Saccharomyces cerevisiae S288C: one gene and its partners. The protein of the gene in region 1 binds, or shares a complex with, the protein of each later gene. Each region holds a gene or a part of one and is shown in the gene's direction. Other genes may lie near its edges. The genes, in order: GCD7, GCD6, GCD2 and GCN3.

The links.
Region 2: the proteins of GCD7 (region 1) and GCD6 are in contact, whole or in part, in a cryo-EM structure (PDB 6QG2), measured with the Saccharomyces cerevisiae proteins. Residues at the interface, in NP_013394.1 of Saccharomyces cerevisiae: Ser16 (codon at 1,598), Asp23 (codon at 1,619), Lys30 (codon at 1,640), Arg31 (codon at 1,643), Ala77 (codon at 1,781), His78 (codon at 1,784), Pro79 (codon at 1,787), Asn221 (codon at 2,213), Glu310 (codon at 2,480), Glu314 (codon at 2,492), Phe315 (codon at 2,495), Gly316 (codon at 2,498), Gly317 (codon at 2,501), Ser318 (codon at 2,504), Gln319 (codon at 2,507), Leu322 (codon at 2,516), Pro323 (codon at 2,519), Arg324 (codon at 2,522), Met325 (codon at 2,525), Asp326 (codon at 2,528), Pro327 (codon at 2,531), Arg328 (codon at 2,534), Lys329 (codon at 2,537), Asp332 (codon at 2,546), Thr333 (codon at 2,549), Ile337 (codon at 2,561); in NP_010497.3 of Saccharomyces cerevisiae: Glu65 (codon at 2,117), Trp99 (codon at 2,219), Ser172 (codon at 2,438), Thr173 (codon at 2,441), Tyr174 (codon at 2,444), Lys176 (codon at 2,450), Thr177 (codon at 2,453), Asp297 (codon at 2,813), Gly300 (codon at 2,822), Arg301 (codon at 2,825), Trp302 (codon at 2,828), Tyr304 (codon at 2,834), Asp309 (codon at 2,849), Ser310 (codon at 2,852), Asn311 (codon at 2,855), Ile312 (codon at 2,858), Asp314 (codon at 2,864), Tyr320 (codon at 2,882), Glu321 (codon at 2,885), Ser322 (codon at 2,888), His324 (codon at 2,894), Lys341 (codon at 2,945), Cys342 (codon at 2,948).
Region 3: the proteins of GCD7 (region 1) and GCD2 are in contact, whole or in part, in a cryo-EM structure (PDB 6I7T), measured with the Saccharomyces cerevisiae proteins. Residues at the interface, in NP_013394.1 of Saccharomyces cerevisiae: His183 (codon at 2,099), Ile185 (codon at 2,105), Thr212 (codon at 2,186), Glu217 (codon at 2,201), Phe219 (codon at 2,207), Pro220 (codon at 2,210), Lys224 (codon at 2,222), His227 (codon at 2,231), Glu228 (codon at 2,234), Lys231 (codon at 2,243), Ala234 (codon at 2,252), Asn237 (codon at 2,261), Ile238 (codon at 2,264), Glu239 (codon at 2,267), Thr240 (codon at 2,270), Leu241 (codon at 2,273), Val242 (codon at 2,276), Val243 (codon at 2,279), Pro244 (codon at 2,282), Asp245 (codon at 2,285), Ser246 (codon at 2,288), Ala247 (codon at 2,291), Val248 (codon at 2,294), Phe249 (codon at 2,297), Ala250 (codon at 2,300), Leu251 (codon at 2,303), Ser253 (codon at 2,309), Arg254 (codon at 2,312), Ser276 (codon at 2,378), Gly277 (codon at 2,381); in NP_011597.1 of Saccharomyces cerevisiae: Leu247 (codon at 2,289), Glu248 (codon at 2,292), Gln249 (codon at 2,295), Tyr403 (codon at 2,757), Ser431 (codon at 2,841), Arg432 (codon at 2,844), Phe435 (codon at 2,853), Arg438 (codon at 2,862), Ala441 (codon at 2,871), Glu442 (codon at 2,874), Arg445 (codon at 2,883), Asn446 (codon at 2,886), Val451 (codon at 2,901), Met452 (codon at 2,904), Tyr453 (codon at 2,907), Ala454 (codon at 2,910), Leu455 (codon at 2,913), Ile456 (codon at 2,916), Thr457 (codon at 2,919), Ser458 (codon at 2,922), Asp460 (codon at 2,928), Thr461 (codon at 2,931), Asn464 (codon at 2,940), Ala487 (codon at 3,009), Gly488 (codon at 3,012), Ala490 (codon at 3,018), Met491 (codon at 3,021), Met494 (codon at 3,030), Arg498 (codon at 3,042), Ser520 (codon at 3,108).
Region 4: the proteins of GCD7 (region 1) and GCN3 are in contact, whole or in part, in a cryo-EM structure (PDB 6QG2), measured with the Saccharomyces cerevisiae proteins. Residues at the interface, in NP_013394.1 of Saccharomyces cerevisiae: Val113 (codon at 1,889), Pro116 (codon at 1,898), Ser119 (codon at 1,907), Ser120 (codon at 1,910), Met121 (codon at 1,913), Phe122 (codon at 1,916), Leu125 (codon at 1,925), Gln126 (codon at 1,928), Lys127 (codon at 1,931), Val267 (codon at 2,351), Asn268 (codon at 2,354), Glu283 (codon at 2,399), Arg286 (codon at 2,408), Arg289 (codon at 2,417), Tyr305 (codon at 2,465), Phe307 (codon at 2,471), Asp308 (codon at 2,474), Lys311 (codon at 2,483), Pro343 (codon at 2,579), Glu344 (codon at 2,582), Asn345 (codon at 2,585), Pro358 (codon at 2,624), Ser359 (codon at 2,627), Phe360 (codon at 2,630), Tyr362 (codon at 2,636), Arg363 (codon at 2,639), Trp366 (codon at 2,648), His375 (codon at 2,675); in NP_012951.1 of Saccharomyces cerevisiae: Phe76 (codon at 1,882), Arg79 (codon at 1,891), His82 (codon at 1,900), Leu83 (codon at 1,903), Tyr84 (codon at 1,906), His93 (codon at 1,933), Asn97 (codon at 1,945), Leu100 (codon at 1,954), Ile115 (codon at 1,999), Asp118 (codon at 2,008), Phe119 (codon at 2,011), Ile120 (codon at 2,014), Ala121 (codon at 2,017), His221 (codon at 2,317), Arg224 (codon at 2,326), Glu278 (codon at 2,488), Thr281 (codon at 2,497), Ala282 (codon at 2,500), Gly288 (codon at 2,518), Val289 (codon at 2,521), Leu290 (codon at 2,524), Thr291 (codon at 2,527), Pro292 (codon at 2,530), Ser293 (codon at 2,533), Ala294 (codon at 2,536), Ser296 (codon at 2,542), Glu297 (codon at 2,545), Glu298 (codon at 2,548), Lys301 (codon at 2,557), Met302 (codon at 2,560).

Annotation. Positions count from the first base shown.
Region 1 is NC_001144.5:717,775-721,014, reverse strand, and holds GCD7 (translation initiation factor eIF2B subunit beta), read left to right. Parts: upstream 1-1,552; coding exon 1,553-2,698; downstream 2,699-3,240. Other genes in the region: Ran GTPase GSP1, read left to right, coding at 1-244; Sec63 complex subunit SEC72, read left to right, coding at 645-1,226; ubiquinone biosynthesis protein COQ11, read left to right, coding at 3,037-3,240. UniProt on the Saccharomyces cerevisiae protein: Acts as a component of the translation initiation factor 2B (eIF2B) complex, which catalyzes the exchange of GDP for GTP on the eukaryotic initiation factor 2 (eIF2) complex gamma subunit.
Region 2 is NC_001136.10:882,803-887,365, forward strand, and holds GCD6 (translation initiation factor eIF2B catalytic subunit epsilon), read left to right. Parts: upstream 1-1,924; coding exon 1,925-4,063; downstream 4,064-4,563. Other genes in the region: YDR210C-C (gag protein), read right to left, coding at 1-1,125; chaperonin-containing T-complex alpha subunit TCP1, read left to right, coding at 4,430-4,563. UniProt on the Saccharomyces cerevisiae protein: Acts as a catalytic component of the translation initiation factor 2B (eIF2B) complex, which catalyzes the exchange of GDP for GTP on eukaryotic initiation factor 2 (eIF2) and is regulated by phosphorylated eIF2.
Region 3 is NC_001139.9:644,360-648,365, reverse strand, and holds GCD2 (translation initiation factor eIF2B subunit delta), read left to right. Parts: upstream 1-1,550; coding exon 1,551-3,506; downstream 3,507-4,006. Other genes in the region: mitochondrial 37S ribosomal protein mS44 MRP13, read left to right, coding at 224-1,243; TOM complex receptor protein TOM20, read right to left, coding at 3,771-4,006. UniProt on the Saccharomyces cerevisiae protein: Acts as a component of the translation initiation factor 2B (eIF2B) complex, which catalyzes the exchange of GDP for GTP on the eukaryotic initiation factor 2 (eIF2) complex gamma subunit.
Region 4 is NC_001143.9:488,156-491,311, reverse strand, and holds GCN3 (translation initiation factor eIF2B subunit alpha), read left to right. Parts: upstream 1-1,656; coding exon 1,657-2,574; downstream 2,575-3,156. Other genes in the region: RPC37 (DNA-directed RNA polymerase III subunit C37), read right to left, coding at 2,694-3,156. UniProt on the Saccharomyces cerevisiae protein: Acts as a component of the translation initiation factor 2B (eIF2B) complex, which catalyzes the exchange of GDP for GTP on the eukaryotic initiation factor 2 (eIF2) complex gamma subunit.

The DNA of each region.
Region 1 (3,240 bases):
TTTCCACAGAAAGAAAAACTTGCAATACTACGATATTTCTGCCAAGTCCAACTACAACTTTGAAAAGCCTTTCTTATGGTTGGCCAGAAAATTGGCTGGTAACCCACAATTAGAATTTGTTGCTTCTCCAGCTTTAGCCCCACCAGAAGTCCAAGTCGATGAACAATTGATGCAACAATACCAACAAGAAATGGAACAAGCTACTGCTTTGCCATTGCCTGATGAAGATGATGCTGATTTATAAGGGACAAACGAGAACAAGCTTTCTTTTTTCCCTACCCTAAACTGTATACATATTTACATTCATCTCGATATAGAAATTCAATAAAAATCCACATGATTTTGAAGATTTTATAATTGCAACAAGAAAACACAAACTAACTGGTACTCCTGTCTTTTATAAAACAGATTTAAATATATAACAAATAGTTGAATGTGAATATGCTGTGATTTAAGTATATTTAAACGTATTTGGCTTGTCTAATATTATATTTTTTAGATCGTTTATGGATCGTTTCAAACGGATGTAGGAGCACACGTAACAATTAGATTATATCTTTGAACATAAAACCAATAGCCTTAAAATCAAAGAAACGTCTCCTTCAACTTGCGTTAAAGGCATACCAAAGCAAGCTTATTCAACCATGGTTACCCTTGAATACAATGCAAACAGTAAACTGATCACTGCGAGTGATGCTGTTGTTGCACTATCTACCGAAACTAATATCGATCAAATAAATGTTCTCACTACATCTTTGATTGGAGAAACCAACCCAAATTTTACACCACAACCGAATGAAGCTCTAAGCAAAATGATCAAGGGTTTATTTGAAAGTGGTATGAAGAATTTACAACAAAAAAAATTGAATGAGGCATTGAAGAATGTTTCTTTAGCAATCGAAATGGCACAAAGAAAAAGAGCGCCTTGGGAAGCTTTTGCTATTCAGCTACCAGAGCTACACTTTATGCTTCGTAGTAAAATAGATTTATGTTTAATACTCGGAAAGCATTTAGAGGCGTTGCAAGACTTGGATTTCTTACTTGGTACGGGACTTATCCAACCAGACGTATTTGTCAGGAAGGCGGACTGTTTGCTAAAATTGAGACAGTGGGAAGAGGCTAGGGCAACATGCGAGAGAGGTTTAGCTTTAGCCCCAGAGGATATGAAACTTAGAGCCCTTTTAATAGAAACTGCAAGAAATCTGGCCGAATATAACGGTGAATAAGGTGCATAACCGAAGATATTTTAGCCTTTTCTTGATATGTCTCTATGCTACACACGACTACATAGCAAGAAATTTTAGATAGATTCAAAAACACATAGCAAGCCCATTATCATATATACTAAGGAATAGCCTTTATGAAAGGCTTTGAACTATACAGCTTGAGTATATGATACCTCTGCTTCCCAACCGCAAGCTTTTTTTCTTCGTGATGCTGAAAAAAAAAAATGGACATAGAAAAAACCTTCATAAATGAAACAGACCATTCATTACTCGTGCGGAACCAGTAAACACAACACGCCAACTTTCGAACTTTTGCCCAACATAAGATGTCCTCTCAAGCATTCACTTCAGTACATCCGAATGCGGCAACATCTGATGTGAATGTTACCATTGACACTTTCGTTGCTAAGTTAAAAAGAAGACAAGTGCAAGGTTCATACGCCATCGCCTTGGAAACTTTACAACTGTTAATGCGATTTATCTCTGCAGCTCGTTGGAACCATGTTAATGACCTTATTGAACAAATCAGAGATTTAGGTAATAGTCTAGAAAAAGCTCATCCTACTGCTTTCAGTTGCGGTAACGTAATTAGAAGAATACTGGCTGTTTTGAGGGATGAAGTAGAAGAAGACACTATGAGCACAACTGTCACATCCACATCCGTTGCTGAACCTTTGATTTCCTCTATGTTTAATTTATTACAGAAACCGGAGCAACCTCATCAGAATAGAAAAAATAGTTCAGGGAGCTCTAGTATGAAAACCAAGACTGATTACCGTCAAGTAGCCATTCAGGGTATCAAGGATCTTATAGATGAGATAAAAAACATTGATGAAGGTATTCAGCAAATTGCTATTGATTTGATTCACGATCATGAGATTTTATTAACTCCCACACCTGATTCAAAAACCGTATTAAAATTTCTGATTACTGCTCGCGAACGTAGTAATAGAACATTTACGGTTTTAGTTACAGAGGGGTTCCCTAATAACACCAAGAATGCACATGAGTTTGCCAAAAAATTAGCACAGCACAACATAGAAACCCTAGTAGTCCCAGACTCAGCTGTTTTTGCTTTAATGTCCCGTGTGGGTAAGGTTATTATCGGCACTAAAGCCGTTTTTGTCAATGGGGGGACTATCTCGTCAAATTCAGGTGTATCATCCGTTTGTGAATGCGCCCGAGAATTTAGAACCCCTGTATTTGCTGTTGCAGGTTTGTATAAGCTTTCTCCTCTATATCCGTTCGACGTAGAGAAGTTTGTCGAATTTGGTGGGTCCCAACGTATATTACCTAGAATGGATCCAAGAAAAAGATTAGATACAGTTAATCAAATTACCGATTATGTTCCGCCTGAAAATATTGATATCTACATTACAAACGTCGGTGGGTTCAATCCAAGTTTTATATATCGTATTGCGTGGGATAATTACAAGCAAATTGATGTGCATTTGGATAAAAATAAGGCGTGATGATGTGTCTTTTGTACATTACTCATGAAAATAAATAAAAATCTTGTAGATCAAAACAATTTTTTTATTATTAATTATTAGTATATAATCAGAATATTTACGTATCCTTGAATATGTTAAAAGACTAATACATAAAGAGCATCTTAGCATTAACTTTTTACTTCTCTACAAAGTCTGGCAATTTGACTCATTTTTTTTTTTTAGTTGAGTGTCTCCTCGTAATGCCATCTTGTCGCTTTTGCATAATAGAAAAACAGGAAAACATTGAAAAAATAAAAAAATAAGGGAAATATGTATCGTATACAAAAATACAGCTAAAGCTTGAACTGAAGTAGAAAATGATACCAAAGCTTATAGTTTTTGGAGGCAATGGATTTTTAGGTAAAAGAATTTGTCAAGAAGCAGTGACTTCGGGCTACCAAGTCGTTTCTGTGTCAAGGTCCGGTAAAGCTCCTCATAGCAATGAATTAAATGATAAGCAATGGATGCAGGAGGTCCAATGGACCGCTGCTGACATTTTTAAGCCTGATTCTTACCATGAA
Region 2 (4,563 bases), on another chromosome or scaffold:
CGTATAGCTGCGAGAATCATTCTTCTCATCACTCCGATTTCTCCTGTAATTAGGTTTGCTGTTTCTCGATCCCTGTTGTTCTTCATAAATAGCATGGATATCTAAGAACAGTTCAGCGACTGTCATATTTAGATGTCGATGACGTGTGTAGCGTAAAAATTTATATTCGCCAGATAGACCTCTCATAATTAATTGGCATGCGACCTTGTTATTGATATGAATGCCATTATTGTTCAGTCTGTCGATAATGTTTGTGACTTTTGTTTCAAATGCATCTGCAGGTGTACTGCCATTATATTGCAAATTTGCCAGGGTCACAATGTCGTTTGCCTCTTGGGTATCAGATTGCATTTTTTCAATACTTTTGGAAAGAATTTTCATGATATCCGTATAATCAACGGATAGGATGTCTTTGACCCAGGTAGGTAGGAATTGAGAGGGAGCAAATATTTGAAAAGTGTTATACAAGAAGGTGAGTTCATCATCAGTGATCTGACGTACGGGTTTTCCGTTTACTGTCGGAATAATACCACCGAGATTCGAGTTTTGTAAAAATTTGATGTATGTTTTAACCCAATTTGGAAAGTCATTAGGTGAGGTTAACATTGGTGGTGGTCTGACATATTTTTTAGTGGATGTCATATCAGAGTCCGCTGAGGATGAATCAGTAAATGTATTACCTGACTCAGGTGATGGAGTGCTCAGAGGCGTTCCAACTGATGATGGATACTGCGGAAACTGTGATTGTGGCCCAGGTGGAAAGTACATAGGCGACATTTGATAAGGTGTATACGGAATCATAGATGGGTGTCCGTAAAATGACCAACCAGATGGATTGGCTTGGTTTTGGGTCATCATGCACTGCTGTGGGTACGGCCCATTCTGTGGAGGTGGTACTGAAGCAGGTTGAGGAGAGGCATGATGGGGGTTCTCTGGAACAGCTGATGAAGCAGGTGTTGTTGTCTGTTGAGAGTTAGCCTTAGTGGAAGCCTTATCATATTCTTGAATTTTGGAAGCTGAAACGTCTAACGGATCTTGATTTGTGTGGACTTCCTTAGAAGTAACCGAAGCACAGGCGCTACCATGAGATATATGTGGGTAATTAGATAATTGTTGGGATTCCATTGTTGATAAAGGCTATAATATTAGGTATACAGAATATACTAGAAGTTCTCCTCGAGGATTTAGGAATCCATAAAAGGGAATCTGCAATTCTACACAATTCTATAAATATTATTATCATCGTTTTATATGTTAATATTCATTGATCCTATTACATTATCAATCCTTGCGTTTCAGCTTCCACTAATTTAGATGACTATTTCTCATCATTTGCGTCATCTTCTAACACCGTATATGATAATATACTAGTAACGTAAATACTAGTTAGTAGATGATAGTTGATTTTTATTCCAACAATGGCCTCTTTAACACTAATATCCCGACAATTTTCCCAAAATTCAAAGAATTCTCAGAAAGAGCTATTTTTTTTTTTAATAAAATTATTAGTACTAATTCCAGTATAAATAACAATGTTATTTACGTCTCTTTCGAAAATGCTCGTGTAGCTCAGTGGTTAGAGCTTCGTGCTTATAGCAACATTCGGTTTCCGAAGTTTCTGTGCCAAAGACCTTTCAAACAGGCCTTTAAAAGCAACGCGACCGTCGTGGGTTCAAACCCCACCTCGAGCACTTTCTCTTTTTTTTTCACACGCGTTTGCAACATGCCCGTATTACATGAGCTTATTTGACTTTAGATGGTTTTCAGTTCTTTTTTTTTTTTTTTTTTTTTTCAGTAGATTAATGCGAAGAGTTAAATCACCAATTCAAAGATGGCAGATGGACCACCTTGTGGGATAAGTATAAAAATAACTAAAAGTGGTCTTGTGTTAAAAATAGAATAGAAACCACTCATAAGGCAAAAGATGGCTGGAAAAAAGGGACAAAAGAAAAGTGGACTAGGCAACCATGGAAAGAACTCTGATATGGATGTTGAAGATCGTCTCCAGGCCGTTGTCTTGACAGACTCTTATGAAACTAGGTTTATGCCACTGACAGCTGTCAAGCCAAGGTGTTTGCTGCCACTGGCTAACGTACCTCTCATTGAATACACCTTAGAATTTTTGGCTAAGGCTGGCGTACATGAAGTTTTCTTAATTTGCTCTTCTCATGCCAACCAAATTAATGACTATATTGAGAATTCTAAGTGGAACTTGCCTTGGTCTCCATTTAAAATTACCACCATTATGTCTCCAGAAGCTAGATGTACGGGTGATGTTATGAGAGATCTAGATAATAGAGGTATCATTACTGGAGATTTTATTTTAGTCAGTGGTGATGTATTGACTAACATCGATTTCAGCAAAATGCTAGAATTTCACAAAAAAATGCATTTGCAAGATAAAGATCACATCTCGACAATGTGTTTGAGCAAAGCGAGTACCTATCCAAAAACAAGAACTATTGAGCCTGCCGCATTTGTCTTAGACAAATCCACCAGTAGGTGTATTTATTACCAAGATTTACCATTACCAAGCTCTAGAGAGAAGACTTCCATTCAGATTGACCCAGAATTGTTGGATAATGTCGATGAATTTGTCATAAGGAATGACCTCATCGATTGTAGAATTGACATTTGTACATCTCATGTACCTTTGATATTTCAAGAAAATTTTGACTACCAATCATTAAGGACAGACTTTGTTAAAGGTGTCATTTCAAGCGATATATTGGGAAAGCATATATATGCCTATTTGACGGACGAATATGCTGTAAGAGTTGAAAGTTGGCAAACTTACGACACCATTTCTCAAGACTTTTTAGGTAGATGGTGTTATCCCTTGGTCTTAGACTCTAACATACAGGACGATCAAACGTATTCTTATGAATCAAGACATATATACAAGGAAAAAGACGTTGTTTTGGCCCAATCCTGTAAAATTGGTAAGTGCACTGCAATTGGATCAGGAACAAAAATCGGAGAGGGTACGAAAATTGAGAATTCCGTGATTGGAAGGAACTGCCAAATCGGTGAAAATATTAGAATCAAGAACAGTTTCATTTGGGATGACTGTATCATCGGAAATAACAGTATAATTGACCATTCATTAATTGCCTCTAATGCCACGTTAGGGAGTAATGTACGCCTAAATGATGGCTGTATAATTGGTTTCAACGTTAAAATTGATGATAATATGGATTTAGATAGAAACACAAAAATATCTGCCAGTCCATTAAAAAATGCCGGCTCAAGAATGTATGATAATGAAAGCAATGAGCAGTTTGACCAAGACCTTGATGATCAGACACTAGCCGTTTCTATTGTTGGAGATAAGGGTGTTGGTTATATTTACGAAAGCGAGGTGTCTGACGATGAAGATAGTTCTACAGAAGCCTGCAAAGAAATAAACACTTTGAGTAACCAATTAGATGAGTTATACTTAAGTGACGATTCAATTTCTTCCGCCACTAAAAAGACAAAGAAAAGAAGAACGATGTCTGTCAATAGTATATACACGGATAGAGAAGAAATTGATTCTGAATTTGAGGACGAAGATTTTGAGAAAGAAGGTATTGCCACCGTGGAGCGTGCTATGGAAAACAATCATGATCTTGACACAGCATTATTAGAATTGAACACCTTGAGAATGAGTATGAACGTGACATATCATGAGGTGAGAATAGCAACAATAACTGCATTATTGAGAAGAGTTTACCACTTTATTGCAACTCAAACATTAGGTCCCAAGGACGCTGTGGTGAAGGTTTTTAATCAGTGGGGACTGTTGTTCAAGAGACAAGCCTTTGATGAAGAAGAGTATATTGATTTGATGAACATCATAATGGAAAAAATTGTAGAACAGAGTTTTGACAAACCGGATTTGATTCTATTTAGTGCATTGGTTTCTCTATACGATAATGACATAATTGAGGAGGATGTCATTTATAAATGGTGGGATAATGTTTCTACTGACCCTCGCTATGATGAAGTCAAGAAATTAACTGTAAAGTGGGTTGAGTGGTTACAGAATGCTGACGAAGAATCTTCCTCAGAAGAGGAATAAAAGTCCACGCAGTACCCTGCATAATCATGTATTACCATAAAAAGGCTTTAATATGAGAAAAAGGTGAGCGCTATATAGATTTAGTAATTTACATGTTACAGAAGCAAAAAGCAAATATATATATATTTTTTATCATATTAGTTTTTATCCTCAGTAGTACTACTGAAATAATAATCTCAGATTTTTTTTTTTCACTTGCCGAGGGACCTTGTCCTAAGTGGCAAAGAACTGAAAAAAAAAAAAATTGAAATGCGGTGGTATCACATGAAGAGTAAATAACTTAAGCAAAAGAGAGGCCACTGAGAGAGTACAAGAAAGGGACAATAACAATAGACAGAAGACTTTTATATTTGTAATAACTTAGCGATGTCCCAATTATTCAATAACTCGCGCTCAGATACCCTTTTCCTAGGAGGTGAAAAAATAAGTGGTGATGATATTCGTAATCAGAATGTTTTGGCTACTATGGCTGTGGCTAACGTCGTCAAGTCATCTTTAGG
Region 3 (4,006 bases), on another chromosome or scaffold:
CAGTGACAACATCAACTACTTAATATATAAGAACAAATAAAATATCCCAAAAATATCATATATCCTCATCACATTTGCAAGTCTAGCGCTTCGATGCGTTGTGAACACTTTGTCAATGTATTTAGTTGTATTCATACCCAATTTATTGGCACTTATTTGATACTCACCATGCAGGGTAATAGAAAATGTGCTGAAAAAAAGCTAAACCTTTCTTATTAAGAAAATGGGAACCATAACAGTGGTGATTAATGAGGGACCAATACTGTTGATAAGGGCATTGCACCGAGCAACGACCAACAAGAAAATGTTCAGAAGTACAGTTTGGAGACGTTTTGCATCTACCGGCGAAATTGCGAAAGCAAAGCTGGATGAATTCTTGATATACCACAAGACAGATGCGAAACTAAAACCATTCATTTACCGTCCCAAGAATGCTCAGATATTGTTAACTAAAGATATTAGGGATCCAAAAACAAGGGAACCATTACAACCGAGACCTCCCGTAAAGCCACTGTCGAAGCAAACGTTAAATGATTTTATTTATTCGGTTGAACCCAACTCGACAGAACTACTAGATTGGTTCAAAGAATGGACAGGGACCTCCATAAGAAAGCGCGCTATTTGGACGTACATCTCACCAATTCATGTTCAAAAGATGTTGACTGCGTCATTTTTCAAAATCGGTAAATATGCGCACATGGTAGGACTCTTATATGGTATTGAGCACAAGTTTCTCAAAGCGCAAAATCCATCCGTATTTGATATCGAGCATTTTTTTAATACTAATATCATGTGTGCTTTGCATCGAAATAGGTTGAAAGACTATAAAGATGCAGAAATTGCTCAGAGGAAACTGCAGGTTGCTTGGAAAAAGGTATTAAATAGAAAAAATAATACTGGACTAGCAAATATTCTTGTTGCAACATTAGGTAGACAGATTGGATTTACCCCAGAGCTGACGGGCTTGCAACCTGTAGATATTAGTTTACCAGATATCCCCAATTCATCAAGTGGCGCGGAACTAAAGGACTTGCTAAGCAAATACGAGGGGATATACCTTATTGCAAGAACATTATTGGACATCGATCAACACAATGCTCAATATCTAGAATTGCAAGAATTTATACGCCAATATCAAAATGCATTAAGTGAATCCAGCGATCCATACGACACGCATTTGAAAGCGTTGGGACTGTTGGAAACACCACCTCCTCAGGAATCCACCGAAAAAGAGGAAAAATAGTACCAAAACACCCCATAGGAAATATATAAATAAACATACCTGTAAATACTAAAAAGTAGAACACAGTTCGTCACATATATTGCTATTATTGTATTAATTATGTTTATATTTACCCGGGAATCTCTTCACAATTTTCAGTACCTCTCGCTTTTTTCCAATTTTTCAATTTTTTTTTTTCGAGTTTAGTGAAAATGAGTATTCTACAACAAGGCATCACCAGCTATAGATAATCAGCGTAAGTGCATAAGATCTTATTTTCACCACGTAAGAAATACGTTGTCAAAGAAGCGTCGATAATCAAATTGCTATGAGCGAATCGGAAGCCAAATCTAGGTCGGCTACACCGCCAAGTAAAGCTAAACAAGCTACTCCAACAACTACAGCTGCAGCTAATGGAGAAAAGAAATTAACAAACAAGGAGCTAAAAGAACTAAAGAAACAAGAAAAAGCTGCAAAGAGAGCTGCAATGAAGCAGGCTAATGGTATATCCATTGAACAACAGCAACAACAAGCACAAATGAAAAAAGAGAAGAAACAACTACAACGTGAGCAACAACAGAAAAGAGAGCAAAAGCAAAAAAATGCCAATAAAAAAAAACAAAATGAACGAAACGTGAAAAAGAGCACACTTTTTGGTCATCTGGAAACTACTGAAGAAAGAAGAGCGACAATTTTAGCTTTAACCAGTGCAGTATCATCTCCAAAAACTTCGCGAATCACCGCTGCTGGGTTGATGGTCCCCGTGGTGGCTAGTGCATTATCAGGATCTAACGTATTAACGGCTTCTTCCTTGATGCCCGTGGGTCCAAACGCGTCGTCTACTGTATCTGCATCAGCTCCAGCTTCAACAACAACGACTCTTCCTGCCTCTTCTGCAGCACTCTCTGCCGGTACCAGTTCTGCGTCAACAAATACTCCAACAGCTATACAACAAGAGATTGCTTCATCAAACGCTTCTGATGTTGCCAAGACATTGGCATCTATCTCGTTAGAGGCTGGTGAGTTTAATGTCATTCCCGGTATATCGTCAGTGATCCCTACCGTGTTAGAACAATCATTTGACAACTCCAGCTTGATATCGTCTGTTAAGGAACTTTTATTGAATAAAGACCTTATCCATCCGTCGATATTATTATTAACTTCTCATCTAGCACACTATAAAATCGTGGGATCCATCCCACGTTGCATAGCCATGCTAGAGGTTTTCCAAATTGTTATCAAAGACTATCAAACACCTAAGGGAACTACCTTGTCACGTAACTTAACAAGTTATTTGTCACACCAGATTGATCTTTTGAAAAAAGCTAGACCTTTAAGTGTTACTATGGGTAATGCTATCAGATGGTTAAAGCAAGAAATTTCATTAATTGACCCATCTACCCCCGACAAAGCCGCCAAAAAAGACCTTTGTGAGAAAATTGGGCAGTTTGCTAAAGAAAAAATCGAACTGGCTGATCAACTAATTATAGACAATGCCTCTACACAAATTGAAGAATCTACTACTATTGTGACATATGGTTCATCAAAGGTTCTAACTGAACTGTTACTGCATAATGCAATCAGTTTAAAGAAAAACATCAAAGTGATTGTCGTCGATTCGAGACCACTATTTGAAGGGCGGAAAATGGCAGAAACTTTAAGAAATGCTGGTGTCAATGTTATGTATGCACTTATTACAAGTTTGGATACGATATTCAATATGGATGTGGACTATGTGTTTTTAGGAGCCCATTCTATCCTATCTAATGGGTTCCTATATTCAAGAGCTGGGACAGCAATGTTGGCTATGAGCGCTAAGAGAAGAAATATACCTGTATTAGTCTGCTGCGAAAGTTTGAAGTTTTCACAAAGAGTACAATTGGATAGTGTCACATTTAATGAACTGGCAGATCCAAATGACCTGGTTAATATAGATTACGAAAATCCAGTCGAGAGACGCGGTAATAAAGGTGCGTTATTAAACCAATTTATCAAAGAAAGAAAATTTGAAAAGAAAAAGCTAGCAATGGAGAATAAGCCAAAGGGTAATAAAATTGGCGGTAAGAAAGGATCTGAAGGAGAAAGCAAGGACGCCAGTAATGAAGAAGACAGCAACAGCAAAAATATTTTGGATGGTTGGCAAGAGTTACCTTCGTTAAATATTGTCAACATCTTATACGATTTAACACCACCAGAATATATTAAAAAAGTGATCACTGAATTCGGCGCTTTGCCACCTTCATCTGTCCCTGTTATTTTAAGAGAGTACAAAGGTTCCGCATAAGCATATACAACATTCGTTAATGGTCGTCCACGTGTGTATACTACATATATATTATATATATATATATATATACATATATATATATATTACACCTAATACGATGAAAAAATACATCTAATGAAAAGAATTGTTTTTATCCTTAGCTTTCCAAAAAGCTTGGTATATATAACAAGATTTAGGCTAGAGAAATGATGTAATTATATAGGGCTATATACAGAGTAAAAGAAACAAAAACGGAGAAAAAAAGCAAGCAAAATGTTACTCTCAGTCATCGATATCGTTAGCTTCAGCAACCGCATCAGATTCGGCCTTGCTTCCAACAACTCCTTTAACGAAAGAAGCCACATTAGCAGGAGGCAAGATGGCAATCATTAATATAATATATTCGTAAATGGCTTCAGGAATGGATCTTTGGTAAATTCCCAATAAATCGGCTGGCTGAGGGTATACAGTCAATGCTTTATAAAACTTAGAGGCTGCTTCCAGTTCCTTACCTTGTT
Region 4 (3,156 bases), on another chromosome or scaffold:
GATATATATGCCCTTTCTTTGCACACAATGTCTCTTTATTGCCGTTTGTCATTTTGTTTTTTTTATTTTTATGTTGAATTTAGATACACCATTGTGCATACATCTTATTTTTCCCAAACGGTGTAACAATGCCTCGGAAACCTGATGACGAATTGCTAAAATAATACGGCATTGTACGGCACCAGGACTGGCAACGTAGCATTTCCAATATTATAATATTTTTACTCAATAACTGAAAAGATAATAAGAAAATTATAAAAGTAAAAAAATTCTTCCCCGCCAGGACTTGAACCTGGAATCTTCTGGTTCGTAGCCAGACGCCGTGACCATTGGGCCACGAGGAACAAGAATTATTAAGAGACATTAAAAATTGAGAACCCTAAGTATCAGCACTATTTATTGCATGATTTTTTACCTAATATAGTAGTTCAAATTACCAGACCCAACTAATCCTGCTCTAAGAAGTAAGAAATGTGTGAATTTTGAAATAATTGTTGGGTTCCATTGTGAATAAAAGCTATCATTGAGAAATGTTTGAATAATATGATAATTACTGGTGTTCCATTATTGTTGAAGGCTATGATACACAATATACTAAAAGTTCTCTTCGAGGATATTAGAAATGCGGAAGAAGGAATCGGTATTCATGAATAGTAATGTTATTGTCTCGTTTTTTTACTTTATATGCTTATTCTTTATCTTGTTACGTTATCAATGCTTGCATTTCAGCTTCTATTATATTTAATAACCGTTTCTCATTCTTAATGTCATCTTCTTACACTGTGTATGAGAACATACTGCTAATTTGTGTGCTAGTGCATAGATGGTAGTTAATTCTTATTCAGACAAAAAGTTTTAGTATCTGATCTGTTGTTAAACATGTTAGATAAGTATTTTTTGGAATAAAGATCCACTATCGTATATTGGCTAGCGGTCGTGACACTAATATGTTATTACATACTGCATAAATAGAATACACAAATCGTGAGGTACAGTCATCCAATGTTGTGGAAGTCGATACTCAAGACCTAAAGAAAAATAAAATTTCTGAATGAAAAACATAACGATAGTAAAAATGAGCGGTATGTTATGACATAGGAGATAGAAGAACAAAACTGATCTGATCAAATTATTTTAAGAATATTTTACTAGTATGTTTACTACATGACAATCTGCAGCAGTGCCAGCTACATGGTGATCTCTCCAAAACAGACCAAACAATTTGCGCTTGTATTGCTTTTCAAAATAAAACTAAACATATGTAATTGTGCTTACAAGAATTGCTAGCTATATCTTATGTTGGTAATAGATAACGATTAGTAATACCTTTTATGAGAAAGAATAAGGAGGCAATGCCATCATTTTCGCCACATTAAGAGTGCACGACTCTATCCAGGGAATTTGATACAACACAGCAACATTGTCGCCATATTTAAAGCTTTCTACATAGCATAATGTTTTTTTTTTTTTACAATAGATAAATTTCATCCGGAAGAAAAATGAAAAAAAAATGAAAAAATTGGTGAAGTTTATGGTGTAAAATGAGAATCATACTGCTCAAATAGTGACAAAGCCATCATTAATCATAGATTTCTTCATAGTAATTGATAGAAAGAATTTTAAAAGTCCTACGTATACCAGAAATCGAGAGGAAGGATGTCGGAGTTTAATATTACAGAAACTTATCTAAGGTTTTTAGAAGAAGATACTGAGATGACAATGCCGATTGCTGCCATTGAAGCATTGGTCACGCTATTAAGAATAAAAACACCAGAAACAGCGGCAGAAATGATTAATACAATAAAAAGCTCCACGGAAGAACTTATTAAATCCATTCCGAACTCAGTTTCCCTGAGAGCCGGTTGTGATATTTTCATGAGATTTGTCTTAAGAAATCTTCATTTATACGGTGATTGGGAAAACTGTAAACAACATTTGATTGAAAATGGCCAGCTTTTTGTATCGAGAGCCAAAAAATCGCGTAACAAGATTGCAGAAATAGGGGTGGATTTCATAGCTGATGATGATATCATCTTGGTACATGGTTATTCGAGAGCAGTATTTTCTTTATTAAATCATGCAGCAAATAAGTTTATTAGGTTCAGATGTGTGGTGACAGAATCAAGACCTAGCAAACAAGGGAACCAGCTATATACTTTACTTGAACAAAAGGGCATACCCGTGACTCTTATTGTCGATAGCGCGGTTGGAGCGGTAATCGATAAGGTTGACAAAGTGTTCGTTGGTGCTGAGGGTGTTGCTGAATCAGGTGGTATTATAAATCTCGTGGGTACCTATTCAGTGGGTGTTTTAGCACATAATGCAAGAAAACCATTCTATGTGGTCACTGAAAGTCACAAATTTGTTCGTATGTTTCCATTGTCTTCAGATGATCTACCTATGGCCGGCCCTCCTTTGGATTTCACACGTCGTACGGACGATCTAGAAGATGCATTGCGTGGGCCCACGATCGACTATACCGCCCAAGAATACATTACTGCATTGATTACAGATTTAGGGGTCCTCACTCCAAGTGCCGTTTCAGAAGAGTTAATCAAGATGTGGTATGATTAAAAAAAATCACATAATATATGCACGCAATGACTTAATAGAAAAGGAGAAAAAGCGCAAGAGCATCCTTTATGTGAAACTGATGTCTGATGCTGTTCTTTCTTCATGATGCATTATGTACTTCAAACTAGATTATCTATATAGTCTTCTTGTTTCTCTAAGGCTACTAAAGTTTTATCTTCAGCTTCTTTCACGATAGTATCTTTGAACTGTTCAAACGTGCCTTCTGCCCAGGTCAATTCAATATTAGCCTCTTCATCGGCGACTTTATGTGCCAGCAGGGAGCCAGTGAGTCTGTTTTGCGAAGGGTCGTTGACGCTCTTTACAGACATGGTAACCACTTGAGCGCGTTGTGATGAAGGATTAGGGTTCCTTCTGGCGTCCTCTTGCTTTCTTGTTACATTTGCGTCGTCGATATATTTGAAAAATGGCTTCAATTGTGCTACCCTCTCAATAGGTACCAAATAAACCTGCATATCTTTGACAAATGCTGCATATTGGCCATTGTTTTCCACACCCACGCCTTTTAATGTTTGGACATTAACCCCATTCCATTCGCTCTCAGCCTTATCCTTGTTATAGAAG